Linked DNA regions of Rhinolophus ferrumequinum. The protein of the gene in region 4 binds, or shares a complex with, the protein of the main gene of each other region. Links are inferred from orthologs where the notes say so. Each region holds a gene or a part of one and is shown on either strand. Other genes may lie near its edges.

What was found.
Region 1: the proteins of TGFB1 (region 4) and ITGB8 are in contact, whole or in part, in a cryo-EM structure (PDB 7Y1T), measured with the Homo sapiens proteins. The link is inferred for Rhinolophus ferrumequinum from reciprocal best matches to the Homo sapiens genes TGFB1 and ITGB8. Residues at the interface, in NP_000651.3 of Homo sapiens: His117, Thr241, Arg243, Arg244, Gly245, Asp246, Leu247, Thr249, Ile250, His251, Gly252, Met253; in NP_002205.1 of Homo sapiens: Ser156, Ala157, Ser158, His160, Asn161, Asp213, Tyr214, Asn215, Leu216, Gly248, Asn249, Ile250, Asp251, Thr252, Glu254, Gln286.
Region 2: the proteins of TGFB1 (region 4) and NRROS are in contact, whole or in part, in a cryo-EM structure (PDB 7Y1R), measured with the Homo sapiens proteins. The link is inferred for Rhinolophus ferrumequinum from reciprocal best matches to the Homo sapiens genes TGFB1 and NRROS. Residues at the interface, in NP_000651.3 of Homo sapiens: Leu30, Ser31, Thr32, Cys33, Thr35; in NP_940967.1 of Homo sapiens: Phe194, Glu195, Ile196, Glu197, Gly198, Gly199, Phe201, Leu210, Leu212, Pro218, Cys219, Ile220, Val221, Asp222, Phe223, Gly224, Leu225.
Region 3: the proteins of TGFB1 (region 4) and ITGB6 are in contact, whole or in part, in a crystal structure (PDB 5FFO), measured with the Homo sapiens proteins. The link is inferred for Rhinolophus ferrumequinum from reciprocal best matches to the Homo sapiens genes TGFB1 and ITGB6. Residues at the interface, in NP_000651.3 of Homo sapiens: Pro70, Gly71, Pro72, Glu75, Leu158, Asn237, Gly245, Asp246, Leu247, Thr249, Ile250, His251, Met253, Asn254; in NP_000879.2 of Homo sapiens: Ser142, Ala143, Ser144, Asp146, Asp147, Pro196, Cys197, Ser199, Ile200, Pro201, Tyr202, Lys228, Lys231, Ile232, Ser233, Ala234, Asn235, Ile236, Asp237, Thr238, Glu240.

The regions. Positions count from the first base shown.
Region 1 is NC_046303.1:19,498,493-19,505,553, reverse strand, and holds the start of ITGB8 (integrin beta-8), read left to right. Parts: upstream 1-4,052; 5' UTR 4,053-4,726; coding exon 4,727-4,853; intron 4,854-7,061. UniProt on the Homo sapiens protein: Integrin alpha-V:beta-8 (ITGAV:ITGB8) is a receptor for fibronectin. It recognizes the sequence R-G-D in its ligands.
Region 2 is NC_046285.1:50,893,191-50,900,958, reverse strand, and holds the start of NRROS (transforming growth factor beta activator LRRC33), read right to left. Parts: upstream 3,018-7,768; 5' UTR 2,975-3,017; intron 1-2,974. UniProt on the Homo sapiens protein: Key regulator of transforming growth factor beta-1 (TGFB1) specifically required for microglia function in the nervous system.
Region 3 is NC_046291.1:62,160,779-62,167,902, reverse strand, and holds the start of ITGB6 (integrin beta-6), read right to left. Parts: upstream 3,013-7,124; 5' UTR 2,940-3,012; coding exon 2,895-2,939; intron 2,786-2,894; coding exon 2,710-2,785; intron 1,977-2,709; coding exon 1,897-1,976; intron 1-1,896. UniProt on the Homo sapiens protein: Integrin alpha-V:beta-6 (ITGAV:ITGB6) is a receptor for fibronectin and cytotactin. It recognizes the sequence R-G-D in its ligands. Internalization of integrin alpha-V/beta-6 via clathrin-mediated endocytosis promotes carcinoma cell invasion.
Region 4 is NC_046298.1:39,655,247-39,662,888, reverse strand, and holds the start of TGFB1 (transforming growth factor beta-1 proprotein), read left to right. Parts: upstream 1-4,623; 5' UTR 4,624-4,658; coding exon 4,659-5,013; intron 5,014-7,642. Other genes in the region: B9D2 (B9 domain-containing protein 2), read left to right, coding at 131-259, 2,565-2,878. UniProt on the Homo sapiens protein: Transforming growth factor beta-1 proprotein: Precursor of the Latency-associated peptide (LAP) and Transforming growth factor beta-1 (TGF-beta-1) chains, which constitute the regulatory and active subunit of TGF-beta-1, respectively.

The DNA.
Region 1 (7,061 bases), on a different chromosome or scaffold from region 4:
GGACATGAGGTGGTGGAGAAGAATAAGAGCTCTGATTCATGCTTGCTCAGTGATTCTCTTGAACTGGGGTCAGTCTCCTCACGGACCTGGTTCTTAGTTTCCAAGTTTGTAAAACAGGATTAGTTCAGCAGTGTGCTTTGTGGAAAATAAGTCTGTGAGATGTTCCCTGAATAAAGGGTTCTTCCTTTGGAGAATCCAATTGCATGCAAACCTATTTAAGTGTCTGGAAAATCCTCCAGTAAAGGATTTAACTTAATTTTAACCCAGCATTTTCCAAACTTCATTATGGAAGACCTCTCTCTGAAAACATTAACATCTCACAGAATTAAGCATCCATAGAATACCTGGGAAAGAGACACGGGCTCCAGCAGTTCATTTTTCTTTGACTTTGCATTTGATACTGGAGTTTGTCAATAAGCCCACACGAGGCCTTTGAGGAATCTCTGTATTAATCCATATGGCTTAGGTTCTTTGTCATTGATACAAGCTAGGTGTCATAGTCACCATAATACATCCGACTGGCTGGGCCACTCATCATCTCTTAAGAGCTGTACATGAAGCGAGCTCATAGACAACCTGTGAACATCTACTTAAAATCTATGGAATATCTCCAATACCAACTTCAGAAAGATACGCAGTCGGTTCTGACTTACAAAGGCGCAACTTACAATAGTTTTACTTCACGAGGGTGTGAAAGCAATATGAATTCAGTAGAAACCGCACTTCCAAGTCTGAACTTTGATCTTTTCTTTGACTAGTGATAATGTGGTATGATACTCTCTCGTGATGCTGGCCAGCAGAAGAGATCCTCAGCTACCGGTCAGCCATGTGATCACAAGGGTAAACAACTGGTATTCTATAGTGTATTCATTGTGTTAGACAATTTTGCACAACTATAGGCTAGTATAAGTGTTCTGAGCACGTTTAAAATACGCTAGGCTAAGGTATGATGTTCAGCAGGTTAGTTGTGCGAAATGCATTTTCAACTTAGGGGATTTTCAATGTACGATGGTTTTATCGAGATATAACTCTATCAAATTGAGGAGCATCTGTAATATTAAAATGTGAATATGATTTTAGCGGTAATTATGAGGTCAATAATTTGGACAAAATATCGTTAAAAAGCTGAATACACAATAAGAGGAGCAGTCTCTCAGATGTCTTTCTCATTCTTGCTGTGTATAGCTTATTCATTTCTCACCATAAACCAAGTTAATGAGAAATTGAGGTGAAAGGAATAGAAAAGAAACTTAATATATCTAATTTTATGTCTTGTTAGCAACTAAAAGACTCTGATGATAAAAGGCTGGAATGAATAGCTAACATGTTATTTTTAGACGATCTGTAAATTTCATTTGCTCTTATTACCACAAATGATGAAAAATTAACTGTCAAAAATGTCAAAGCAAGACAGCAGAATATGACAAAAACAGGAATTAATCAAGTCACCATCTTCAGGAACATTTTTTTCTGTTAGAATTCTTCAGGTAATATGAGGAAGATAATACCTCATTTCTTCACAACATGCTGTACATCTTCTTACAGGAAAGAGAATGAGTTGTGGTGACCAATGACATTTATTGGAAACAAGGAAACTTTTTGTTCCTAGGCTCCTAATTATATTTACTGTAAGAAAACCTACAGATGATTTACAGGGCTCAAGAGAATTCACTTTTATCTTTATAGCCCCAAATGTACAGATAACTTATTTGTAAATAACTTAACAAGGATCACAATGTCACAGCTGGGATATTTTGTCTTATTTTATTTTGATCACCAGAATTATAACATCTTTTCAACTGGGAAGTGGTGATAAATGCTGCTGTGCTTATTCCTCAATAACTCCATAAAACTGGCATCCTGACATATCAGCCTGGGCTTCATAAAATAAAATGTGGAAGTCTTTCTTTCCACACATCCTTATTGGTATTATGGATTGACTTTTTTCCTTTATTGTAGAACTGCACTTTCTCGAGGGTGGCTGCATTCCTTTGGATGAAATAATCTCTGGAAAATATACATGCTGTTTTATTGAAGGGTCACTAATCAGAGCTTGAATATGTTCATTTTGTGCTTTAATTTCAAGTCCTCATCCCCACCCAGCCACTTTTCAGGCCTTTCCTTTAAGACCACAGAAAGCAAAACTACAGTTATTCAAACTTGGAACTAAGGAAACAAAATAAATAATGAAGCTGAGCTGGATTTCATTCTACCTAGTGTACATTGCCTATAGTGGTATTTACAAGGTGTTTTCACGTGCCAGCTTTTCACATTCGGATCATTCATTTGGTCTCAGAAGAAAAAAAAAAATCACCTGCTTTGTAGATCCAGGGCACTTGTAATTTTCCAACTGGGTTCCCGGTTAGCTTAGCTAATTCTGTGGGCTTCAATGTGCAGTCCACACCTGAAAAGGGGGGGTTTTCAATGTTGTGGTTTATTAAACAGGTACTTTCCATTCACTCAGTTAACAATTAGAAAACAGAAAGAAAAAAGAGAGAGAGAGCCTCCTACTTGTTTTTTAATTCCAAATATGGAGATGGAAACTATTGAACAAGTAAGGAGGGAAACTCCCGCATATTTCACCTTGACCTGGCTGGACTGGTCTGATGCCCGTAAGACGAGGCTGTTCTATGAACAAGGTCAGGCAGGCTGCTAGTGGGATAAGGAGAGGTCAGATTTTACCAGCGGGGATCACTCCTGCCCCTAGAGGGGAGAAAAGAAGCATCACCCTGTGTCTAGGATTGGAAACGGCCTCGTTTTCAATCCGGGGGACTGGTTTCCCTCCCTCGGCCTAGCGTGGTAGTGACAGGACCCAAGGAGGCGTGCGGCTTCCCTGACAGTTGCCCAGCAAAACACCCGCTCCCTGCTTGCACCTAAATTTCCGATCTACATGCAGGCAGAAATGCCCTCCCACCTCCTTTCCTAGCTTCTCTCCCTGTTTCACTGCGCATTGTAACTTCTTTGTTCCGTTTATCAGGAAGGTGATGCTTAAGGTCAAAAGACACTAACTAGCAAAATCCAGAGCCACCACCAGACCCTGGAAAGAACAGGGCTGTTCAGTCCAGGGCTGAGGCTCCGAGTGGGGAAGCAGCGAGAAATTTCGTCCAGCAGCTCTGAGTACAGCCTCTGTGGACTGGCCCAACTCTCCGAGGGTCGGGGAGACGCCGCACGGTCTCGGGGTGGGGCAAAGGATGAACTCCTAACTCTGCAAGTAGAGTGGGCAGTGCGCACCCGCGGAACAGAGGGTGTTGGGGGCGGGGAGAGGCCCCTGGACTCCACTTTGTATGCGGCAGCTGCCGAGCAGTGAGTATCTCTGAACAAAGGAGAGCACAGCGCCTGGGTGAAAGGCTGGGGTTTGCGCGCAGCTGCCACTCGTGCTGAGCGACTCTCTACACCCGCTAGGCGAGCGTTGGGGTGCAGGAATTCGGGGGTGGGGGGCGGACAGGGCGTGCGATTCCTGTTGCGGGGCTACGCCTCAGGAGTTCTTGTGAACGACAGGAATGGCAACTATCAGAGTCAAGGGGGAGAAAAAGAGCTGGAGTGAGCAAAACAAAGAGCGAGTGTGGGCCGCGGTGACTTCATGCCTCACTAATGTCCCGCCCACGCTGATCCGAGCAATGGCTGTTGCCACCCCCTCGCTCGCGAGCGGCCAGAGCAAAGCGCTCGGTAGCGTGGGGCGGTTTCCTAGCAACTCCGGGCCCGAAGCGCTCCCAGCTATCTGAACTTCGAGAGCCCACCTCCCCCACTACCCGGGGCCAGGGCAGGACCACTCCTCCCGACCCCCACCAGCCTGGCCTCCCTTGCATCGGCGCAGGGTGCACCCCAGAGCGCGCCAGCAGCCTGGGCTCTGGACTGTCGGACGCCGGAGTCGAACACCGGGGCCAATAGAACGAGGGCACGAAGCTCCCGCCCGGCGAGACCGGGGTCCTGCACCCCCGCGGAACCTCCCCTCCTGCGCTCGCCCCGGTGCGCTCCACTCCCAGCCAAGCAGGGAGCTGGGATGCCTAGCTCTGTGTCCGTCGGCGCCAGAGGGGGCTTCTAGGGCGCTCACGGAGCCGCCTCCCCCGGCTGCTGGCACCCGGAGCTTCCTTCCTCGCCAACCAGGACGCTGCCACTTTGACTTTGCCCGCTGTTCAGCTAACGAGGCTGCAAAGCAACTAAGTGGAGTTGGCCTCCCTGCCCACCTGTGGAAGAAGCTCGAGCTGATTGATGTCCCATCGACTTTTTTTTTCCCCTTCAGCCTCGCCGGCGTCCCCTCCCACAGATACAGCATCACTCAGTGAATGTACCACTAGGCTGGTTTTTCCCCCTCGCTTCGGGCTTTGTTTGGGTTTGATTGTGTTTGGCTCTTCGTTAAGCTGATTTATGCAGCAGAATTCCCATCGGCTGGGGAGAAACAAAAGCTCTTTTCTTTGTCCCAGAGCGGGCTGCGTAGCCATCGCTCGCGTCGCCGCCCCAGGCCATTGGCCGTCGGAGGAGGTGCTTCTCGCGGAGATTTCGGGACCCTCTGTGCCGAGCTTGGAGGGCCAAGGGGCCCTGAAATGCCGAGCGGTGCCCGGGCCAGCGTACTTTCACCGCTTGCTCCGAGCCGCGGGGTCCGCCTGCCAGGCCTCCTGGAAACGTCCTAGCGACGCTTGGTCCGCGGGCCCCGAGGTGCGCCCGGGAGGCACAAGCGCGCACCCGGAGAGCAGCCAGTTGGAGGACGCGGTGCGGGCTGCTTTGCATTATGTGCCGCTCGGCCCTGGCTTTTTTTACTGCCGCATTTGTCTGCCTGCAAAACTGCCGGCCAGGTCCTGCCCCATTTCTCCGGGCGGCCTGGGTATTTTCAGTTGTTCTTGGACTGAGCCAAAGTGGTAAGTTTTTTGTTTTTGTATGTTTGTGTTTTCCTTTTGTTTCTTTCTCTTCCCAAAGGTCTTGGGATGTCATGAAGAGCATCCTGGCCAGGTAAGTGGCCCAGTGTCAGCCTCCCTCCATCTGCCTCGAGAGAACTTCAGAGGGCGGTGTGTGGCAGCGTCTACCATCGTATGTGGCCTTAGGGAGGCCAGGTGTAAAGCATGTTCCGTCCCGGAGTGACAGCAATAACTAATTATACGAGGAGATACTGTGTTGCTCCCTGGTGTTGGGGAAGCAGTAATGGACTGGAAGTGAAGAAGGGTGGGCGCTCATAATTACAGACGCCAGGTTAGGGGTCCTGCCCATCTTTGAAGCCATCCTCCTTGAAGGCACCCTTAAAGATGCTCCTCATCTTGCTAGCATGCGGGTCTAACCACTGGCTTGCATTTGATTCAAGGCTGACGATAAATTGGTGTAGTGGGAGTGAGTCTTCTGTTTTTGAGTTGCTGGAAGAAAAGGATGATAGCACAAAAGTTTCTTCTATTCCAGTGTTCAGCCTGAATGAATTGAAGTGCAAAACTGTTTTGGATCTTTTCAATCATATGTAAATGTAAGATAGCTCTGCTGGATTGTTAGCAAACAGTAAAACATATAGTAAGTAATAGTAATAACCATCAATTTAGGATGAGTTCGTATTGGTTTTATATATAAGCCAAGCACTTATTTTTGCCAAGGCAATGATTATTGCCATAGTTTTTATTTTTTTTAATTTTATGTACTTTACCAATGTTTGGCCATCCAGCCCTTAAATTCTATTAGAGACTTGCTTGCACTGACCTCTCCTGCTGAAGGAGAATTGTGATTGTTCTATAGACTAAAATTTTCTCCTATGCTTTGAATTGATGTGCCAAGTTTCTGCCTGCAGTTAATTAAAATGGTCAAATCATAATCTTATAAATAAGGGTTTATAATGGAAACATCCAGCTAGCTTCACTTACTTGTTGCATATATAGTTGTTTAATATTTATTTCAAAAGGAGATTTACCTAACAGTTATGTGAAATGAGAGCAAGTAGAGTAAATTTTTATCTTGTGGTTATTTTTTGACTTATAAGTTGACCTCAAAGTAGGTAAAACTTAAGGCAAAGGAAAAAGTAACATTCATTATCAATTATCTCTTAAGTGGAACGTGCACATATTTTGCAGCAGATTTTCCACTGAGCATAATTCCATCCTGTGTTAATAAATGACAAAATATTTTTCTAGATTGAGTAAACACATAAACACACATAATAGTAAAATAACCAAAACTGTCAACAGAGTATATTTTGTCTCCATCACATAGGCAAAGGAAAAAGTCCTAGTTGCCTCTAGAATTTACTAATAATAGTAATAATTTTAAAATATTCATTATGCTTGTAAAGATTAGTCAAGTTCTCGTGTAACATCATTGTATTTCCATCCGGTGACTGTAACTGATTTAAAGCAAATATTATGAATGGGCTCCCTTGCACCTGCAGTAGTGAAAAGGGAATGCTTATCTAAAATCAGAACAAGGCATCCTTTTCCCAGTCTCTGTCAATATACAGAGGTTTCTGATGTATACTGGTTTGCACTGCAGTTAAAACATGCAAAAAATTTAAATTATAGCCAGCACAACTCAGAAAATTAGAGATCAGCATAAACTGTTGTATTTTCGTGATATAGCTACAAGTCTCAAATTATGTGTCTTCACAGTGCAAATTAGACGCTTAAAGCAGAATAGAAATTGAGGTTATCAGTTACAAAGGAAATCTTGTTCCCTTGCTCAGTAGTTTACACCAAGGAAATGTTGAGGGCAATAAAGCCATACAAAAGAAACTATAAACTGCATAAACAACAACATAACTTTGGGTTTAATTTTTAAAGTAGAATTTAGGTCCCAAATACATAGTGAGCAAGAAGGATATTATTAAAAATCTGAATATTTTTCTGATCTAGAAAAAAAGTTACTGGAGTTCATTATTCAACTTTCCCTGGTGGAAATTACCAACAATTAGAGCAGTAACACTAAAAAATGGTTAATGAGTAACTGGAAAACACTTAAGAATACCTAGTGGTTAATATTTAAAGATTTAATGTAGCAGCACTGATGTTTTTACATTTGCTAGTTTTGAATGGTTAAAAATATTTTTAACTAAATTTTTATACAACAGTATAAGAGTGGCAAATTTCAAAAATTCCTATCTC
Region 2 (7,768 bases), on a different chromosome or scaffold from region 4:
ATGATTTTCTTTCTTGGAGGGGCAGCAGAAAGGTGCTTGGGGCACATGGCATAGCACCTGACCAAGGTGAACTTCTGGGTTGGGGCTGGACGTGGGGAGTCCCTGTGTCCTCACAGGACTTTGTAGCCACATTTAGCCCATCACTGGTACCAGCACTGCTCTTCTAGCCCACCTCTCTGGTGAGAATCACGACAGGGTTCTACTTCCTCCTTTCGTCCCTTTGTTCAGTCTGAAACCACTCATGTATTAAAGTGAGAAGACACATGTGGTTTTGTCTCAGCACCTGACTCCATTTGCTCTGGAAATCAGTTGGTTTTGCCTACCCACATTCATTTCTCCTTCTGGTAACAACTCCTTAACTCTCCTTTGAGGAAATTACACTTTCCTTTCTTTTCTTTATTATTTTAATTTTTAATTGTGGTAAAATAGACGGAACATAAAATTTACCATCTTAACCATTTTTAAGTGTATAATTCCGTAGTGTTAAGTATATTGACATTATCTTGCAATCAACTATCTTACTTTATTAAGAACTCCATGTTTGTTTGAGTCTGACCTTAACTCTTGGCTCCAAGGAGGGGCCTATAAACAAGGCTGGACCCATCAGAGTCTCCTATTCCCCTAACCACCGTGATTGGTTTATAATGGGTTCCCAGAAGCCAAACCCATGAGAATCAATCCAAGGATTTTACTGGGAAAGAGGCTTTCTTTTTATGCTTCAAATGCCAAACTGATGGTAATTAAGGTTTGAGCTTCAGACACCCATCTTTGCCACCAACTTTAGGTCCTGCCTGATAATGAAGCCTACACAGAGGAAAGCCATGCTGAGGAATGGAGACAGACGGATTCCTGGCAATGTTTGAGCATCTGGATGTGTGCAGCTGTTCCCCCCATAGACTTTTTGATTATTTGAAACAACAAATCCTCTTTTTTTGCTGAAGCCAAACTGATGGGATTTTTGTCATTTGCAACTAAAAGACCCTTAAACTCAGATTTAGTTGCTTGTGAGGCTCGATAAGATCCAAGTATCAATGTCCCTTTTTCCTCCCCTTGACTCTCTCTGCTGTCAGACATCATCACTTAATGTAGCCCAGAGCTCCCCACACATTGAGCCATGACAATTTGTTCAATGATGAAGTTGAGGAGCATAGTTGGGGGAGGAGGGTGAGTGGAAATTAGTATACTAAAAAAGTTCTACCAAAGGCAAAAATATTTATCATTAATGTGCAGACACACCAGTGAGCATTACTGAGCATAGAACAAGCATATCCTGAGAAAGATAATGTTTTTCAGTCGTGGTTGAGAGCCTACCCTCCCCTAACTTTACGTGGTTATATAATGTAGATCTGAGCGTGGTGTGGGGCACACCTAGTTGTCCTTCTGAGAGTCTGGTTTACATTTTGTGGTGTGAATACACACTGCAGCCCAAACACGGGTTATAATCAGTACTGATGTCAGTCTTCCACGACAAAGAAAGACCAGAGTCAAATAGGCAATGCATTCCTAACACAGGACCCAGGACAAAGACACGGGGAGCCTACTCTCTGTTTGGGAGGCATGGGTTTAAACACCATGTGGACTCAGGTTTATATGGGTTTTCAGGAAGTCCCATGAGAAACATGTTAGATGAAAACACCCTCTTTGTGAAATAGGCTTTTTGTTTTGTTTTGTTTTGTTTTGGTTTGGTTTGGTTTGGTTTGGTTTGGTTTGGTTTAACCTAAAGGCAGGAGTCAAGCTTTTTGTATTTTGTTTTCCTGGGCCCAAGGTTCTATAATCCTGTCTAGGAACTCTCAGACATACATGTAAAAACCTATGGGGTGTATAAGACAAATAAATAAGTCTCAGGGCCAAAAACCCCAGCAAACCAGGGGCATCCGCAGATGCTGTGCAGCACAGCCAGTGGGTAAAGGGAGTGCAGATTTCGGAAGGGCAGCTCTAAAACTCAAAATGTTTTTACGGTCCAAACTTCTAATGGGCTGCACCCATCACGGAAGAAAAATCCAGTGGGTTCCCTTCACTTCCCCTGGAAGTGCAGCACCCGAGACCAGCCCTATCCTGGGGCTTAATTCTTAGGACCCTGCCTCCACCTCCTTGAGTCCCAGCCACTGTGGGGCACATGGTCACCTTCTCTCAGGGATGAGGTGAGCTGGCAGCCCATTCTGAGGGCAGTACAGAGCCGGGTCGGTGGCTCCTTACTTATTTATGTCAGCTCCTGAGCGCATGAGGATATATGCTGAACCTTCCAGAATCCAGCCCACATGGAGAGGCCGCGAGGGCTATGGAGGAGCCTGGACAAGGGATAAGAAAAGTCTGGGACCTAGTATCCCTCTGACACTTACTAGCTGTGGGTCCAAGTAACGAACCCTAGTGAATTTCCCAAGGACACTCTGTGGGTAAGGGGCTTTGCCTGTCTATGTCACAGCTCTGCCCCCAACATCTTAAACAGGCCTGCACTTGGAAGACATCCACAAGTATGTGTTGCTGTCAATGAGTATCAGTGTCTTCATCTATGACACGTTGACTCTCAGTCCACATTGTGGAGCAGAAAATAAGATCCAAGCACTCAGCACGCTGAGCACTCACAGAGTAGTCTCATTGCATCCAGTCACCCAGCCCGGGAAGAAGCACCATTGTTCCCACTTTGCAGATAAATAAACCGAGACCCAGATATTCTCCCCACAGAGCCAGAGATCAAACTTTCAAACCAGGAGTCTGAAGCCCTAATTGTTTCTACTACTCTACACCACCTTGACCTCATTCAGCTCTTGAGTGCTCACAGAGGGATGTAGTTCCACTAGCGAGAGCTGTAGCCGCCAAACTGGGCACAAGAGCGGTGGAGCTTGGATGCAGCAAGCCACAACTTCCCAGTCAGCCGCAAGCTGTGGGCCAGGGACGCTGATCTACCACCCACCCTGGCCCGAGCTCGCCCACCTCCAGAAGGGCAGCGGTTGCCCACCACGCAGGAAATACTCACGGCTCCCGCAGGCCCAGGCGGCTCCGCCGGGCGCATCCTCTCCCGGGACTCCGGCCTCCTCGAGAGCAGCCGAACGCGGGGCTGGGCTGCCTCCTCTCTCTGGGGCATCAGATTATTTTAGCACTTGCGGAAGGAACAGACGGAAACTGAAGTCACATGGAGAGCGAGCAGCTCGGGGCGACTCAGCACTCACAGAAAGCAGGCAACGGAGAAGGAACTGCTGCCACGGGTGGGTGGTGAGGGGGGAGGGAGAGGGCAGCCGGCGGGAGAGTGGCCCCCGGACTACCTGCTGGGTTAGTCACGAAGGAGGGCGCATATTTTATGGTCTCCCAGCAATGCTAAACAAGGTTCCACCTGCTTTCTCACCTTAGGGATTTTGAGGGGTGGTGAGCTGGGGGCCCCTGCCTGTGAGCTGTGCTGACCCAGAAAACTCTTCTCCAAGGTTATGTCTAAGGGTCAAGCTGGGGCAGACTTTGGGAACGGGTAGGACACATGTTTTTCACTTGGGAAAGAGTCCACCTTCTGGAAGAGCCATCCACTCAGCTAGTCTTTATTAATAATCTCCTTTTATGTGTCAAGCACATCAACAGAAGAAAAAGAAATGGACATTGCTTTGGGGTAGACTTCCAAAGTGCCATGAACTTCTTGATCATAGACTGCTTGGATGATTTTTATTTTTTTTGTACCTGATGTGTAAAAATTTCCCTGCTTAGTGCTTGCCAAGATTTCAAAAGTATAATCGAATTAATAATAGCCACCATCATAGGCATGCCAGGCACTGTGCTAAGAGCTTTATATGCATCATCTCATAGCTCCTGTTCTCAAGGAGTTTACCATCTAGTGGAGAAGGCAAAATATTGACAGAGTCAACGCATGGCGAATGAGTAATGTGAACAACTGTACCGGAGGAGCCAAAGGAGGAATCTCCAGTTCCGCTCTTCCCTATGAGATCTGGAGAGCTGAGGTGTCCTGGAGGGTCGGTTCGCATCTGCTGTAGACTACTGATTTGTGATTCTGCATAACATTCTTATCCTTGGCATGTCCATCTTAAGAGAACAGAAGCAAGTTCTTCCTGCTCCAAACATCCAGCAAATTGTCTACTCCATATCCTCCTTATCTCAAGCAATCCCTCTTTTATATGTTTGACACATTGAGTTTCTCCATAGAATTTCTTTTACGAGAGACAGCTCTTACCACTTTAAAAAACTTAGAAAACCAGTGGTCTTGATGGATGTGTGAGGACGAGCCACTTTGCTGTCATATAGCACCAATAGCCAGCAGCAAGCTGTCTTAGCAGGGAGGACCTAAGACTTTCCAACCAAAACCAATGTTGACTTGCAACTGAAAACAGGACATTTTTCATGCCAGCAAGGCTGTAACCCTGACCGCACAGTTCAGGATTCTCCACCTTGGCTGGGTGCACTGGTCCCCCTCCCAACCACACTGCACACGGCTGAGGAGAGGAGGCACTTCCTCTGGAAACACAACCCATGGTTCATCTCAGCCATGCACGTCCCTTTGTGGGATGGTGACAGTCTGGGGGACCGTGTGCCTCTTTCTTTGAGCCTGCTCCATGTGTTGTGACGTTTATAGCCACCCCCTGCTCAACCGTAACAAAGCCAAGTTTAGTGTCAAGGTTAAAGGAAGTAGCTGGGCAATTCCCAGCTAGAGGAAAAAGTCCGGATGCCTTATTCAGCCTGATCTTGCCTCCAGCCTTCCATCAGTGTTACGTCCTGTACTTAAACACATGGTCCACGAGTGGGTGTCATCCAGTCTTATCTGCTCACAATTTCCTTAAACACAGTACAAATGTTCCCCACTTTGTACTCCCTCTGTCAGACGTTTCCCTTGCGTTGACCAGTGTCTTCTCTGCCTACCACAACCCTCTGCATCCTCTCCTTCTGAACATGTGGTACCAAATGTTTACAATATCCACTGGCATCATGACATCTCCTGTATTGTGCTTTAACTTTTAGGATTTTTGTCTTATTTCCCCAGTTACACTGTAAGTATCTTAAGGGAAGGGGTCACGTGCTATTCCAAAAAGTATACTGCCCAATGCACATAAAGGGGTTCAGTAAATATTGGGTCAAAGAGGGAAGGAGGTAAGAGAAGGAAAGAAGAAAGGAGGGCAATAAACCTACACTGTCTACGACTCTCTAAATATTGTCATCTGAGATTTTTTGTTTGTTGGTTGGTTTGTTTTTTCCTGCCTAAACTAAGCTTTGTCTCCAGTAGGACATCTCAGTCTCCCGAAAGGAACTATGGCTTCTGTCTCCCCACCCACTGCTTTTTCAGATGAAAACCAGACACTATTCAGGGCCGGGGAGTAGGGAGACCTACTGGACAGAGATTGTGAAGGGAGACACATCTGAGTTGGGGGACAAAGTATGCAAAGGATCCGGTGGGAGAAATGAGGGTCAGCTTCCTTCCTACAGATGGGTCTGTGAGAAGAGCACAGTCCATTGTGCCCAGCGATGGAGTGGCAGGGTCTACCTGTGGAACTGGGAGTTCATTCCAGGTCCAAGATCTTGGTCCTCTCACGCTCACCTGTGGTGTTTTCCATTCTGCTTGGGTTCGCCGCCCCTGCCCATGGACAGGGCAGCACTTCCATCCCAGCCCTTCACCTTGGTAACTGGGCCTCGCCAAGCAGTGAACTAGTGCCTCCCCCGCTTCTCTGGCCTCAGCACATGACAGGGAGGGGATTTCCTTTCGGGCGTTAACTGGGAATTGTTCTCTTACCCCACGTCAGCTGGCTGCTGGGGGAGAATCTTTAGTAGTTTCATTTCCCTCATTTGGAATGTAGTTTTTAAGAACCAAAATTAAAAAAACGGAAAGAGGAGAGGCCACCACCCCCATCGGAACCCCTCATGATGCCAGTCCTGGAAGAGCTGAGGGTTCAAGGCAGAGACTGAGGGCACATGAGGGTGGCTTGGCTGAAGGACCTTCCTGGCACATTTTACTCCTCTTCTCTAACCATCTGGAGGAGGACAGGGGATCTCAAATCCTAAGGGCAGCTCCTCTTGCTCCCTGTTCACAAAGCTCTCCCACGCTGAGCCCACGGCCTCTCTGAGCCACTAATTCCAGTCACTAACCTCTGTGAGGACATTGCCTCTTCCTTTCCTGGAAACACTGACCATAAGCAACATATGATCAACGACTTCGTGTTGTGCAGTAACACAATGCTTAAGAAGTACCCTGTCAGTGCCAGGGCGTGGCTGGCAGTGGGACATCCAGGGGAAGGGGCACATACAACTAACCACGGTCCAGTTCAGAGAAAAATGGAAGGGAATGATGGAAAATCAGGAATAAGGTGCTGGGAGAGTGATGGGGGAAGAGAACACAAGTGGTGGGAGATTTCAGGGAAAGCTTTCTGGAAGAGGTGGCATCTGAACTGGATCTTCACGAGATGGAACTAGGTGTGGGGTGCAAGACTGAAGAGATAAGGAAGACAATGAATTGACATAAGGCCACATCAAGGAGGAGAAATTGTAAGAGATGATGGCATCTCTCTATGTCCCACTAGGACTTTGTTCATGGTTCTATCCCGTGTTGCCCAAGGGGCATCATCGTTCATTGGAACAGTTCTGCTTTTCCTCTGGGGCAGTGAGTCCTGGCAGGCAGCGACTATGGTTTGTTCACATTTGTATGCATCCCCAGCAGGCTAGCACTTAGTGCCCAGCAGTTTTTCTTAAATGAATTGAGGTTAAGGTGTCAGTTGCTCTAGAGCAGTTGAAGAGGTTAAAAACTTGGGAAAAGTCACTTACTGGTCATTGAGAAAAGCTTTTTCGTAACTGACAAATATAAACCTGAGTCCTTACCATGGGCTCAAGGCCCTGCATGATCTGGTCCTCTCTCTGCTCCCTCTGATTTCACTCCCTACCACTTTCTTCCTCACCTCCTCCACTCAAAGCATAAAGTCCTCATTTAAGCGGCACCTCCTCTGTTAAGCCAAGCAGGCTTCTGTCTCAGGGCTTTTGCCATTTGTTCTTTCGTAGGCCCAGAATGCTCTCCCCATCAGTCTCCAGGTATCTAAACAGCTCACTCCCTAACTTCCTTTAGGCCTCTGCTCAAATGTCACCTCCTCAAAGAGGCCTTCCCTGACCACACCATCTAAAATAGCACATACACACACCCATTACTTTCTTTTCCCTTACTTTCCCTTTTTTTCACAATTTTTTTATTCATGTCACTGCTCAATATCTTATTATATAGTACTTATTTGCTAATTGTCTGCCTCCCCAATTAAATTGTGTGCTCCTAAGGGAAAGAAATTTGTTTATTCACTACTCTATCCCAGTGACTAGAACAGAACCTGACACATCCTAGGTGCTTATAAGTTTATGTGGACTATATGAATGAGTGAAAGAATGATGGCAAAAAAGAGCAGTTTCAGTAAAGTATAGGATCAAGAGTCAGATTGCCAGGTGTTGGTTAATCAGTGACGGGGTACAGAAATAAACACGGGGGAGACAATTGCTCTTTCGAGGAACAAGGTCATGAAGCAAAGGATTGATATGTGAATATCATTTGTAAAATGTGAAGTACCATATAAATATGTCTATTTTCCTTGGCAGAACAGGTCAGGGAGAGAAGAGTAGAGATGGGATCAAGTCCATAAGTGGGGTTAGCCTTGGCAAAACTGCAAAACCTCTGTGTGTGGTAGAAGTCAGGGCAATGTGATAGGGAGAGGGAAAGACAGGCCTGAAAGGACTGTTGGGCATCTTTGTTTACAAGGACCCATTTGTAAAACAGCAGGCAATGTCTGGGGGACTCTGCACTATTATATAGGAC
Region 3 (7,124 bases), on a different chromosome or scaffold from region 4:
ACTTTCTCCAAGCTTTGGAGGTGGGGACAGGAAGGGAAAGAGAGCATGGTGTAGAAGATTGCTTTTCTATGTGAGACTCAGGAGTTTCCCAGTCCCCTTTGGATCCACCTGGGTAGCGGGAAGCAGCGACATGAATGTTTCCAGGCTGAGATGTGGCCATTCCAACCCTGCAATACCCAGAAGAGAAAGATGGAGTGGTGATATAAATACCTGTCTTACCTGATAGCTAAGGCTGCTCTAGAGCTTGTGAGGCTCTAAGCAAAGTCAAAGTCTCTCATGCTTGGAGAAAGGCAAACCAATGTTCACGTCATTTTCCTCATTTCTTAGAATTCTAAGTCACTCTTGCTGTTTTCAGCAACTAGGAAAGATATAGTCCTTCTGGAATTGATGTTTGAGAATATAATTTGTTATATATCAGTCAGGCCTGTGCATATTTGTGGCCCCAGGCTACATGTAGCAAACTCTGTAACTTCCCTTGATGTATCAGAGGCAAACAGGCTGGAGAAAGCCTCAGAATCCTTCTCAACACAGTGTCACTGCAACCACCTTTAATCACTGTCTTTGCCAAAAGATCAGCGCTGGGGTTAACCATAGAACTTATTTTCTGTCTGCGCTAAGCAGAAGTCTAATTTACTTTTTGCTGCAAATGCCTCAACTTATATAACCAATACCATTAGAGAGAACTTTTAGAATAATCTGGCCTTAAAATTTGACAACTGGCTACCGACTTTCATCCACAAGTAAAGTTATCAGTAGTAACTTAAGAAACTCTCTTAAATGAGTGCTAAAAAAATGCACTTAAATAAAAATTCCAGAAGTAAGCATTATGTTAGACTGATTTGTTGTGGTATGTCTCTAGCATGAAACTAACACTGCCTTTTTCAGCGAGTCATTGTAAAAACATAGGTTTTTTTCCCCCTCTTTTATATTCTCAAACCAACTTTTGATACATGAGCTTAAGAAAAGCAAAATTCCGTCTCACTTTAGTTTGTGCCTCATCAGTCCAGGCAGGAGTGGGGAGGGAGCTGCGTTTGTGCTCTGTGGTCAGAGAGACCACAGATACACATTTAACTTGGCAGGTGGGTTTTAACAGCTCTAGCCTGGTCCAGAGTCGGGTGTCCAGGTTGTTCCTTTTGAGCATGATATCAGCCCTTGCTGAAACTGGCATTGGTAATGTTTTGATTGGTGTTTGGATTCTCTTAGTGAGATTCAGTAGAGAACTGTTTTAAATCCAAAAAGAGCTAAGGCAGCTCTTTCTTACCAAGAATCATTTACAGATTGCTGTATATTGTCTCAGGAGGCTACATGCCCCAGTCTTCTTACACTACTTTCACATAGTTTTCATTTTGATCAGATAAAGAATGTCAGCTTCGGGCTTTGTCATTGTTACCGTACAGAGTCAGCAAGCACATGCAAATGTAATTTTTAAAAGAACTGGATAATGTTTGAACAGTAAAGTTTACCCTAAACCTACAACACTTCCCTTAGAACCTAGTAGTGATTCAGAATGCATCCTGGCTCCCAGATGGAATACACCTATGATACTGAAGTCAAATATATGTTTAGCTTTAGAAAAATATCATCTCCATGATCTCTGATGACCCAAGCCTCGGCATTTGACATGTAAGCAGTTAGAAATGGCTTTAAAATAACAGGAGGAATCAGGTTAAATAAAGGATCCCGAGTTAAATATTTTTGAATAATTTGACATTCACTCCCTCTGCAAATTGCTTTCGAAAGTAGTCACGGATGTGACTAAGGCGTACATTTTCCTTTCTAGATTTGTTTCACTCCTATAAACCCATAGAAAGCAGGACACCTTCAGAGCCACCACTGGGGGCTTTAACAGAAGTGTAACTGCGGTTTTTACAAACATGTTGAGGTCATTTGTTTTACCTCCTGAGAACACCAGGCACACTGAGGTCCAATGAGTAAGCAGTCTTCACAGGTTTCTGCACCTCCCATGGCACAGCCACCTGTGTTTAAACCCAGCAAGACACACAGAATCAGCAAACTCTCAGTCACTCCATTTTCGAGACTTATGCCTCTTAAAGTACTTGAGCAAAGCAACATCAAAGTTTATTTTAGTCTTCAGAGATCAGTCCTCAAATGTTAGCAATTCATAGAAAAGTTCGTATTTTATATCTATCACATTGAAAATACGTATGCCTTATTGCCCAGAAAGGATCATTCTTTTTTGCTTAAAATATTAGATACAAAAGTATCTTAATGTTCACAAACATGGAATCATCATATTTATTATCCTCATTCATTATCGTCTACTTTAATTTTTAAAAATTATTGGCACCCATTTAAAAATCTTCTCTTCCATGTACTGCATTTTTATTTTTAAAATAAATCCCTTTTCTCTCTCAAGGCTATTACACTTAAGTGGAAGTCCTTGTTGTACAATAAAATAGCTAGGAAAGTTACCAAAATGGTTCCCACAAAGGTATTAAGAAGTTCTATTGTGCAGTAATGCTGCATTAAAATGCCAATACAACCTTTGTATTTACTTACCTTAAGCCTAGAGCATTTGCTGTGGGAACAGCCCTGCGTCTGCTTGCGATTTGTTAAAGTGTTCGCTCAATGGCAAAAAAGCAATCAAACAGATCACATAAAAAATGACTTCAGATCTAGTTTCTGAACCAAATGACAGGTTTGTCAAGCATACCACGAAAGCAATATTTCTGAGAGCTTAGGTCTTACCTTGTACGTGATCATTCTTTCCTAGAAATAGAAAGAACAGGCAAAGCAGTTCAATCCCCATTCGTTTCAGTTCTCGCTGTGCAGACAGATTAAAAAAAAATGAATTACCTTCAGCATTACAAGACCAAAGCTGAACATCGTTAAAAGTCTCTTTCTCGAAGTGTAAAATTTTAAATACTACTTACACTGCTTTGAAAAGAAACTTGAGATGTAAATGAAAAAGTTTTCATTAAGACTGAAATGAAAACAGAGGCTACCTGGACAGGTAAAGAAGAAAAGGTGTGCTTAAAAGCAACTTCAACATGATTTACTTCCTTGTTCTCCTTATAAGGAAGCAGGTGTACAATCACCAAGAAGGTGGGGGAATTCATTCAGTAGAAATTTTTGTGTAAATTCTATTAGTCTCTCTGCATCCTAGAGAAAGTTCATACTTTTAGTAAAATATTGGTCAATGAAATGTCAAAAGAGCAATTGAAATCTGATTTCAAGTTGCTTCTAAAATCATTTGAATTTAATAAAAACAGTAAAGATGATAAATAAAACACAAATATATAACTTACATGTAAGGGGATTTTAAAAATTAGCTAAAATAAAATACCTGAGATTTTTGTATTCCATTGTTAAATCTTTTTCAGAAAATTGAAATGAACCCTGAAAAATAAAAATTACCATTTTAAAGTCAATTTAGAAGGCAGGCAAAACATTCTGCTCCCTTGTTTTTCAAATTGGATGAAAGATATTTTCCCATAAGTACAGAATTCTTATTTAAAAAGCAATATTGGAAATAAATATAATATATTAAAATCAAATTTCACCAGAATTAGTTGCAAAACAACAACAAAGAGAACAGAAACAGTGGTGCCCAAGGTTCTGAATCCCTCCTGACAGGGGCCAAGTGCCCTTTTTCATGTACTGTCCCAGCTTCCAGCTCACCACTTGGCACATAGGAGGTATTTATTTGTTGAACAAAAGAGTGACAAACTTAAAATCTATACAGTCAACGGTGAAATTCATGAGATTGATTACATATATTTTCCTAATGTATTCAGGAGGATGTTTTGGGATTTGCAGAGACTACAAAGAGGTAAGAATCAAATATTCGCTTTGTTCCTCTCCAACCTAGCTGACCTTAGATAGGCTTCTTTGTGGCTGGGCTTAAATCCTGTGAGATTATTGTTTAAAAGTGCATTTCTAAGCAAGCATTTGAAACCTGTGAAGAAAGGAAAATTAATTATAGACTGTTCAGGGTCTTCTCAGAAGGCTATGTTCAATTTTGAACTCCATCATACATAGGAACCTGGAAGAACATGGTAAGAATCCTGTAGAGAGAAACCAGGAATATTAAAGAATTAGAAATGTGCCTTTTGGGAGAAAAATACAGTACATGAAATCAGTTGACTTAGTTTGAAGAGAAAGATTGAGGCACAAAGTATCTGTGTCCCTGATATTGCCTCCATTTTTGTATCCAGTATTAGCTTTCATTCATTTGTTCATTTATTAAACCAGTCATTCAGCAAATATTTATTGAGCATCTACTTTGTGCCAAATATTGCTCTAGAAACAGAGAATATGTCAGTGAACAAATCCTAGTACTTGACAGGTGAAGCATATATTCTAAGTTGGGGAGCAGTAGTGGGGAGACAGATTCTTAAATTCAGGCAGTGATAAGAGGTATGAAAAATTATAAAGCTAGGTAAAAGGAAAGAGGGATAGATAGGGTGTGTTATTTTATTGAGGATAGTCAGAAAGGATTTCCCTGCTCAACTGACATCAGACAAAACCCTAAATGACTTGGGCAACAAAGTACAAAGGCCCTGAAACACCTTAATGCTGGGCATTTTCAAGGACAGTGGAGGGCAAGACAGGAGGGGGGCGGGTGGTAGCAAGTGAGGTCAGATTGAGAGGCAGAGGTCAGATCCTATGTATTCTTGACCTTGAATTTTATTTCAAATGTACTGGAATGTCACTGGGAAGTTGAAAGCAGGAGAATGATGTTACTTAATCTGTATTTTCAAAGAATCAGTCTAGCTTCCTCAGCAGTCAGAATGTATGGGGCAAGATTGGAAGGTGGGGGACCAATTAGGAATTTATGGTTATTGTCTAGGACAGAGGCAAGGTACCGTGTTTCCCCGAAAATAAGACCTAGCGGGACCATCAGCTCTAATGCGTCTTTCGAGCAAAAATTAATATAAGACCCGGTATTATATTATATTATATTATATTATATTATATTATATTATACCCGGTCTTATATTATATTAAAATAAGACTGGGTCTTATATTAATTTTTGCTCCAAAATACACATTAGAGCTGATGGTCCCGCTAGGTCTTATTTTCGGGGAAACACAGTAGTCAGACAGGATATAATTTAAAAACAGGATGTGCTTTGATGTAGATATGGAAGAAAGCGAGTTCCCTGGCTTGAGCATCTGAGTGTACGACACTTTCCTGAGAGAGATTACCCTGGGGAAGGATCAGGTTTCGTATGGAAGATGAGACTCAAGAACATGTTAATTCTGAAACACCTAGAAGATAACCAAGTGAAGATGTCATATAGGCAGTTTGCTACCTGAGTGTACAAATAGGGTGATGTTAAAGTAGCAGATGTAAATTTGGGATCATCAGCATGAATTTAAAGATATAAAACTGATAAAATTTAAAAATATTAGGCTGAATGAGATCCTCAAGAAAGGGGAGAGCTCTGAAGACTGAGCCTTGGGGCCAGCCCAGTATCTACAAGTCAGGAGGAGAAGGATCAAGTAAACAAAGCCTCTATTTAAAGAACACTCCTTCTTGCTAAAAAGGAACGTACCTTTGTTGGAAAACAATTCTCCAAATATTGCACTGACTGCCTTTGTTCCAGATTATCTTTTCAAGGATGTTTGTAAAGTGAACAGCCTTTGAAAATAGAGATTATGTCTTCCTCCAGACTAAGGAGCAGATTTTCTTACATATTGGGAAGATAGAGTGTTACCCTCCAGAACCAGGAGCAGGCGTGTTTACTGCCCGTTATAAAAGATTCAGCTTCCCTAAGCTCAGGGTTTCTCTCTTGTAACACAGACCACCACATGTGCAGATGTCACCTCTTCCCATTTGGGTTCCCCTGTGGGAATTGGCCTTGGGATGCTGATGGAAGAAAATGCTGGTTCTTTGGCCACTGCTATCTCTGTGAATTTTAAAGTCCTTTACCTCTGACCCTGGCATCTCATTTCTCTGTCAGCATCTATGAATTTGTGATGATCTAACTTGTTAGCTTACAAGTAAAATTTCAAGCACTTCACAGTTCTCAACAATTTCCTTCTTGAAATTCCCCTTTTTCTATAGACTGAACATTTTAAAATCTCATTTTGGAAGATAACACCTTGCATCCCACAAGAGTGCCTGAAATGCCTTGGACTAACCAGTGTTGCCCTGGATTCTAGAGCTTTCCTCAGATCCTGAGTCATCTCTCTGCCCACAGACCTCCCTGGAAGCTATCACCAGGCACTGAGGATGAGCTGGGATCAGGAATGCCCGCACAACTCTCCATCTGCCCACTCCCTAGAAACTTTTCTCTGTGGTTCTAGCCGCTATCAAAATCTCTTCTTCCTGGGAGCATAGGTAGACTACTTCTCCCTACCTGTCTTGCACTTCAGAGGACCCTAGTGACTTAGCTCTTGCCAAAGGGACATAAGTGGGAGTGGTGTGGACCACTGCCCGACCATCTCCATGCTCCTCTGCTAACTGGATGCACTCAGCAACTACAAGGTCCTGGGCAACTCCAGACGCTCAATGTGACCTGTGTTTAAATCAAGGACCCTGTACTATCCCGTGTACAGACTTCCATCCAGTCCCTAAAATCATAATTGCACTGCTTTTTTGCTCTCAATTCCCAGTTGCAGCCACTCCTTCACTTCCAAGCCTTTGTGTCTGGCTTTTGTGCTGCCTGGAGGCCCTTGGCTCCTTCTCATCCTTCTCACTTGTCTAACTCAACTCACCATCAGGTCTCAGTGTAGACATTACTGGAGCTTCCCACGGGAAGACGACTTTGTTCTCTCCAGGTCTCTCTTCTGTGCAACTTTCCCCAAGATAGTCCTTTTTACTCTGCTTCTAATTGCCTAAATCCTTGCCTCTCTCCTTCACTAGGCTGTGAGGTCTTTCAAGACAATTATTTATTCAACAAGCATTTATTGAATTCTTAGTAGGTATCAGGCAGGGATGGCCTTAGTTATCTTTATGTTCCCAGCAAGCAGCATAATGCTTGCTATTTTGTAAGTATTCAATTAACACTTATCAAGTAAATGGATGAATTTTATGTCTTCATTGTCTAGCATTGTACTTGTTACAAAACAAGTACTCTATAAATATTAAGTAAATAGATGAGTAAATGAATAAATGGTTTTAGAAGGTACATAATGCAATTAAGAGAGGGGAA
Region 4 (7,642 bases):
AGAGTCCCCATTTTGTAACCCCTGCCCCCCAGTGCCAGGGAGAAACGTGGTCCTACAGCCACAAGAGCATCCCCTTCCTGATGGCTGCCTCCGACCTCTCCCTGTCCCGTTGGTGTTCTGGCTCTCATTGCAGGGGCAGCATGGAAGCTCCTGTCAGGCATACGGGAGGGCCAAACGCAGGTGGACACCCCCCAAATAGGGGACATGGCCTACTGGTCCCACCCCATCGACCTGCACTTCGCCACCAAAGGTCTCCAAGGTGGGTTCCTGGCCTGGGCTCTGGACCTGACTGAAGGGAGGGGGGTTAGCAGCACGCCATGCTGCTGGGACTGGGAACACCAAGTCCTGTCCCTGCTCCCATGCCCTGTGGGTCCCTTTCCCGGCCAGGTCTGGTCCTGGAGAGGCTGATCTGCTACTTCCCTGGGCTGGCTCCAGAGTGTGTCAGAGGCCAGGGGTGGAGAGAGAAAGGGGAAGGTGGAGACCAGGGGGAGAGAGGAGGTGGCTTTGAAAGAGACAAACGAAGAGAGTTTTCATTCAGGAGGAAGCTGGGAGGGCTTATAAGAGAGAGGCAGGGCTGGTGGCTGTTCTCAGGCAGAGCTCCTCAGCTGTTCAGAGTGGAAATGAGTATGCGGGGGAGGAATGGTATCAGAAAATCTTTTCTGATGGAAAATTTGGGTCATTAGAGAGCAGTGGATTCCAGGAAATAGCCTAGGTAAATATGCCGTATATTTCAGCAATATAAACAATATTTACTGAGTGCCTGTCCTGTGGTGGGTGATGTCAGGGAGATGTCAGTGATTGAGACAGCCCCCAGCCCTGTCCTCACAGGGTTCACCATCCCATGGGGGAGACAGAGCTGTCCCCAGAAAGTGGCAGCCCAGAGTGGACAGGGCTGGGATGGGCGATTATAGAGAGCTGTGGGAGCCAAGAGGAGGCTCCTGACTGCCAGGGAGTTCAGGGAAAGCTTCCTGGAGGAGGGGATGTTTGAGCTTTGCTGTGAAGGTCCAGTAGGCTAATAAGGCAGAGGGAAGGAAGAGGTTTCTAGGCAGAGAGCTGTGTGCAGAAGGCACAAAGGGTAAAGTGAGCCAGGGCATTTGGAGGACGGAGATAAAGCAGGAGGACTGCAGGGGGTCAGGTGGCAGGGCCTTGAATGTCAGGCTGCAGAGCTGAGGCCATCTCCTGAAGACACAGCAGGCGACTAAGAAGTCAGATTTTGCTTTTAAAGGGTGATGGATTAGAGGGCGAGGCAGGCGACTGTCCTTTCACTCTTGAGACCCCCAGACCCCCTGTGTGGGTATATCATCCTGGCCTCCTCTTTTCCTGAACGCCCCCCTCCCCCCGCCCCATTCTGTCCATCAGGAAATCCCACTGGCTCTACCTTTGGAATGCATACTAAACCTCACCCTCTCCCCTGGCACCTGGTCTGTCCACCCTAACCTCTCACCTGGGCCATTACAGTAGCCTCTTCACTGGTGTTCCCACCCTAAACTCAGGGAAAAACCTAAGTCACGTTCCTCCTGTGCTAAGAACCCTCTACGTCCCATATCTCTCAGGATAAAAGCCAAAGCCTTACCATGGATCCCAAGGCCCGGCATGATCTAGTGCTGTCACCTCCTCCCTGCTCCCTCTCTCAATGGGCTCCTGCCACACTGGCTTCCCCAGGCAGCTCCCATCTCAGGCCTTTTGTACCAGCTGTTCCCCCTGCTGGGAGCACTCTTCCCTAGATGTCCACATGGCCCACTCCTTCTCTCCTTTAAGCATTTGCTCAAATGTTACCTCAGTGAAGCTTTTCTTGATCCCCACCTTTCTAAAACTGCATCCCCACCCCCACCCTACCCACCTTTATTTTTCTCCAGAGCAGTTATCACCATCTGACATACCCTATAATTTGCTTATTTACTATGTTCGTTGTCTAGGATGTCAGCTACATAAGGGCAAGAATTTTTGTCTGTTCTGTTCACCAATGTGTCCCCAGCTTCTGGAACAGGGCCTAGCACAGAGGGGCTTAGAAAGGAGGGTGAAATGGGACTGGATCTCCAAGGGCTTTGTCTACCAAGCTGAGGAGCTGAACTGTAGTCTGAGGACAGTGGGAAACTTATGGAGGGGGAGATAGATGCTTCCAGATGCCAGGTGGAAGGTGGATTGGAGGGCGCAAGAAAGAAGCCTCTGAGCCCAGAGAGGACAGGGTGGGCCAGGGTGTGGGAAGAAGGGAGGTGTCCAGGACAAGGCCCACGGTACTTACTCATCTGGCGACTGGGCCACACTGAGATGGAAACCAGAGAGGGAAGTCAGCAGAGGCTAGATCCAAAGAGCCTTGAATGTTGAGGTGGACTTTATACCAAGGGCACTGGGGAGCCATGGAAGGGTTTTAAGCAGTGGAGGAACATGGATTCAGAAACATCCCTTTGGCTGCCATGTTGAGGTGGGAGTCCAAAGAAGAGGCTGGGGAAGAAACCCAGGGGGAACGGACTACCTGAGGTCTCCAGTGGAGATCAAGGAAGTGGGGATCCACAAGCTGGAGACCCGGCTGTCCCATCCCTTCTTCCCTCCCTCCTTTCCTGCAGGCTGGCCCCGGCTCCATCTCCAGGTTTGGTCCCAGGACAGCTTTGGCCGCTGCCAGCTTGCAGGCTATGGCTTTTGCCATGTACCCAGCAGTCCCGGCACCCACAAGCTGGACTGCCCCACGTGGCGGCCCTTGGGCAGCTGGCGGGAGCAGCTGGCACGGGCCTTCGTGGGTGGTGGCCCTCAGCTGCTGCATGGGGACACCATCTACAGTGGGGCTGACCGCTATCGCCTGCACACAGCCGCCGGTGGCACCGTGCACCTTGAGCTGGGTCTACTCCTGCGCCACTTTGACCGCTATGGCGTTGAATGCTGAGGGACGCTGCCTCACGGGCCCCCATCCCCACTCCTGGACACCCAGTAAGGGCAGGATGGCACAATAGTCAGAAGTCTGGGCTCTGGAAACTGTCAGACCTGCCCGGAGCCAAGGCACACTGCGACTTCTGTCTTGGCTAGCACCTCTGAAGCCCAGTAGCTGTCCCTCTGGGGCCTAGTTTCCCTATCTGTGAAATGGAGACAGCAATGTGTGGGGTCCCAGGGGTTTGGAAGAGAAGAGGCTGCCTTGCACATGGAAATGTTCAATAAAGGAAAGCAGTTCTGACAGGTGTGGGTGTCTTCCTGACCTGTCAGATGGCCTGTGCCCTGTCCTCCCACTGACACCCTCCTTCCTCAGGCCCCCACCTTTTGACAGACCTGCATCCCCCATCCTTCTCAAACTCTGATCTCCCCATTCTGGGTGCCCCTCTTATGACCCCTCTCCTTGGGGCTCCCCTTCCTCTGTGCCCTTCTCCCCACTAGGTTCCCCCATCTGGCTGACCTTCTCTCCAGCTTCCAACTCTATTCTGCGTCCCCTCCTCTGATTCCCTGTCAACTGTGTCCCCATCCACTGATTGAGCCCTCCTCCCCAGGTCTTCATTCTCTCGGTGACCAGCCGCCTCCCCCGCCCCGTCCCCACACACACACACACACAGTCTTCAAAGCCACACGCATCCGGGTCGCCCGCTTTGGTAGCGCTCGGCCGCCAGGAGGCAGCACCCTGTTCGTGGGGCGGGGCCGGGGTGCCCGCCCCCTCCCCCGGGGCTTAAGGGACCCCCCTCAGAGCCCGCCCACGCGAGCTGAGAACGGTGGCCCGGCCCCCGCATGCCCTCACCCCTGGGGGCCACCCCCGCCCCGCGCGCTTCCTGGGTGGGGCCGGGGCGGCTTCAAAACCCCCCGCCGCCCCAGCCGGTCCCCGCCACCGCCGCCGCCCTTCGCGCCCCGGGCCGTCCCACCCCCCTCCTCCCGCCGCAGATCCGCCAGACAGCTAGGCCCCCGGCCGGGGGCAGGGGGGACGCCCCCTCCGGGGCACCCCCCCGGCTCGGAGCCATCCGCCGGGTCGGCCTCAGCCGGGAGCGGAGGAAGGAGCCGCCGAGGAGCAGCCCGAGGCCCCAGAGTCTGAGACGAGCCGCTGCCGCCCCCGCCGCCGCCACTGCGGGGAGGAGGGGGAGGAGGAGCGGGAGGAGGGACGAGCTGGTAGGGAGAAGAGGGAAAAAAGTTTTGAGACTTTTCCGCTGCCGTTGGGAGCCGGAGGCGCGGGGACCGCTTGGCGAGGCGCTGCCGGGCGAGGAGGCAGCACTTGGGAACCGCAGACTGCTCCCCCACCGCCTCGGAAGCTTGCTTCCTCCGTGCCTACACGTCGTCCCTCAGGCGCCCCCATTCCGGACCAGCCCTCAGGAACCACAAACCCGACTCCCGCGAAGACTTGACCCCAAGACCTCGGGCGCACGCCCCTCTCCTGAGCTCCCGCGCATCCAAGGACACTTCTCCGGAGTCTGGGAGACGGGATCTCTCTCAGACCTGCCTCAGCTTCCCTATTCGAGACCACCCACCTCTGGTACCAGATCGCGCCCATCTCGGGTTTTTCCGTGGGATACCGAGAAGCCACCCGCTAGAGCTTCCCTTCCGTCCTCCGCGAGGGCCTCAACTTCCCCCTCCCCGCAGGCCCTCCTACCTTTCCACGGGAGACCTCCCCCCCAGCCCCTGTAGGGGTGGGGCCTCCCTCTTCGCATCCCAGCCCCGCTTGCGCTCTCGGCAGTGCCGGGGGCGCCGCCTCCCCCATGCCGCCCTCCGGGCTGCGGCTGCTGCCGCTGTTGCTGCCGCTGCTGTGGCTACTAGTACTAACCCCGGGCCGGCCGGCCGCCGGACTATCCACCTGCAAGACCATCGACATGGAGCTGGTGAAGAAGAAGCGCATCGAGGCCATCCGCGGCCAGATCCTGTCCAAGCTGCGGCTCGCCAGCCCCCCGAGCCAGGGGGATGTGCCGCCCGGCCCGCTGCCCGAGGCCGTGCTGGCCCTTTACAACAGTACCCGCGACCGGGTGGCCGGAGAGAGCGCCGAGCCGGAGCCGGAGCCGGAGGCGGACTACTATGCCAAGGAGGTCACCCGCGTGCTAACGGTGGAAAACAGCCACAGTGAGCTCGGAGGGGCAGGGGATCCTGGAGGGGAGCCCCCAGCGGGCGCCGGCGTGCTGGGGTCGGGGAGGAAATAACTAGCGGAGGAAACTGGAGAGAGAGGACTCCTGGGGGCGCTGGGAACGTGGGACGGAGTCTCAAAGAGCTCCCTCCACCCCCAGGTGTCTGGTCTTGAAGAGGAGATAGTGAACCAAGTGGACAGCTTCTAGAGAGCGACCGGAACATGCAGGATCGAGGCGCGGGAGTCCCCTAGAGGGAGAGAAGCAATGGGGGAGGGGTAGAAAAGACTTTCGGCTACTGGGTGCACTAGAGTGTGGGGGTCGTGGGATAGGGGCTGAAGACAGGGTGCCCGCTTTGGGAGAAGCGAAGACCCCATTTCTGAGCAAGGAGAAGCAGTAGGGAAAGCTGACGCAGAGCTCAGGGATCGTGAGGCGAGAAGATTAAAGAAGGACAGAAAAGCTAGGTAAAGCGAAGCCCGGAGGTGCCAGGAAAAGTGGACCAGTTTACAGCAGGCGCCAGGAATACGCGGGATTGGGGGGTGGAGCAGAGAGACGGTTGGGGGTGAGAAATGCGGGGAAGAAGTGGGCGCGAGTTCGTAGGAAGAGGGAAGCTAGCGGGAAAGAAGCGGAGACCTCTGGGGTACGGGGGATGCCCGGGGAGGTGCCCTGAGTACTTCACAGGTGGACGTGCGAGGAGGAAGCCCAGCTGAGGAAGCGAGCCCCTAGGAAACCTAGAATACTGGGTCGTGGGAAGGGGTTTACAGAGAGGAGAGACGCGTGGGAAAGGTGGACCGGGAGAGGGGCGGAGGAGAGATAAACGGTGGCCTACTGGGAGCGGCGAACCCTCCACACCGCGGATGGAAGGCAGTGGGCTGAGCGAGGAGTCCAGCCGCAGGGGGAGAGGTGGTGGGTGCGACTCTGCAAGATTGGGGTGAGGAAGCCCCACGTGGGTGCCACGCGCGGGGGAGTGGGGAGGAGCTGCGCGTCCGGAAGTGGGGAGGAAGAGAACCCCGCAGCTCTAAAGGCTGAGAATCTGGACCCCAAAGTGCCAGTTCCTCTCCGGGAGGTTGGGGAAACCCCAGCCTCCGGCGGCCTCTCCCGCCCTCCCTTCCCTTTCCTTCCCGTGCCCTGGGGGGCGGGGATCGCGCGAGGGGCCTGGGGCGAGACGGGGCAGGTCCGGTCCCCGCCCTCGCAGCGCCAGCGCCTCCGGCCCTCTTCACCCCAGCTCCGGGCGGGGCTACCGCTGGGCCAGCCCCGTCGGCGCCCACTCGGGTACCCCGGCGTCCCAAGTGGCCCAGAGGCTCGGGGTCTCCCTCCTTTAACTTTCCCTGTTGGGCAGTGGACTTGTGGGTCTCCAGCCCTTTTGTGCGCCCAACTGTGGCTCCAGTCAAATGACGCCCATCTCCACCCCTGTCTTCATCTCACCTTTTTTCCATGGTTGCTTCACCATCATTCTAGAGATTTCTCTACATTGTAGAGATTAACACTGATACTTTCAATCCTCTCCTCACAGACCGTCTCCATCTCCTCCCCAAACCCTCTGTCTCTCTCCCCGTGTGTCTCTCTGTCTCCTATCTCTGTTTTTCCATCTCTCCCGCATTTTCATTAGTCTCTCTGTCCGTTTGTGGGTCTCCCAGTTTCTGGTTCTGCACCTCTTCCCTCTCTTTCTCTTCCTCCTCCACACCTCCCCACCTTTCCCTGTCTCGCGTTCTCTCCCTCTCCCTGTCTGCCTTTCCCTACCCATCTTGTTACTCTTCCTCCCTATCTGTCTCCCCACCAGGCTCTATCCTTCCTCTGGGGGTTGCTGAGTAACCGCTGGGCCAAGATAGGGCTTATTGTGGGGAGGGGCTGGTCTGGCTAGAGGGGGGAAGAGTACGGAAAGGGGGCCCATAGAAGGGGTTACCTTTTACCTTTCTCATCAGATCCTGTCTCCCATTTTCGCACCCACACTACAGAGGCCTAAAATAGGTGCCCCAGTTGATCCGGGAGTTCATGGCCTGCCCTCTCAACCCCACCCCCAAACTTTTCTGAACTAGTAAACACTCTTCCTAATTTTCTAACCCCACTAAGCCATTCCTACCTAAAATGAACTTTGCCTTCTCTAACCAGCTAAGGGAGGAAATAATTAATAATAATAATAATAATAATAATAATAATAAATGTCATATTAACAGGGAGGCTGCATACCCTAGTAGTTGAGAGCGGTTGAAGTCTGGAACTAGACTTCCTGAGTTTGAATCCCTTTCTGCAGCTTCCTAGCTATGTGACCTTGGGGCAAATTTCTTAATCTCCTGTGCCTAGGTTTCCCCCTCTATAAAACAGGTATAATAAATAATATGTTCCTCCTGGGGTTGTTGTGAAGTTTAAATGCGAAGTGCTTTGAATATCGCCTGGCAAGTAGTGAGTGTGCTTTAACACGCACATTAGAGTGACCACTGTGTGCAGACTCTGTGCTACACGCTTCATCTTATTCGTGTCACTTTCTTTCACACTCTCACCCTGCAGTCAGTCGTTCCTTGTTTTACAGGTGAGAATCTGGCACAGAGAGAGGAATTCATTTGCCCAAAGTTACATAGCGCTTCAACGAGGAGAGCCTGGGTTGGAAGGCAGGGAGCTTGATGTGGAAGCCA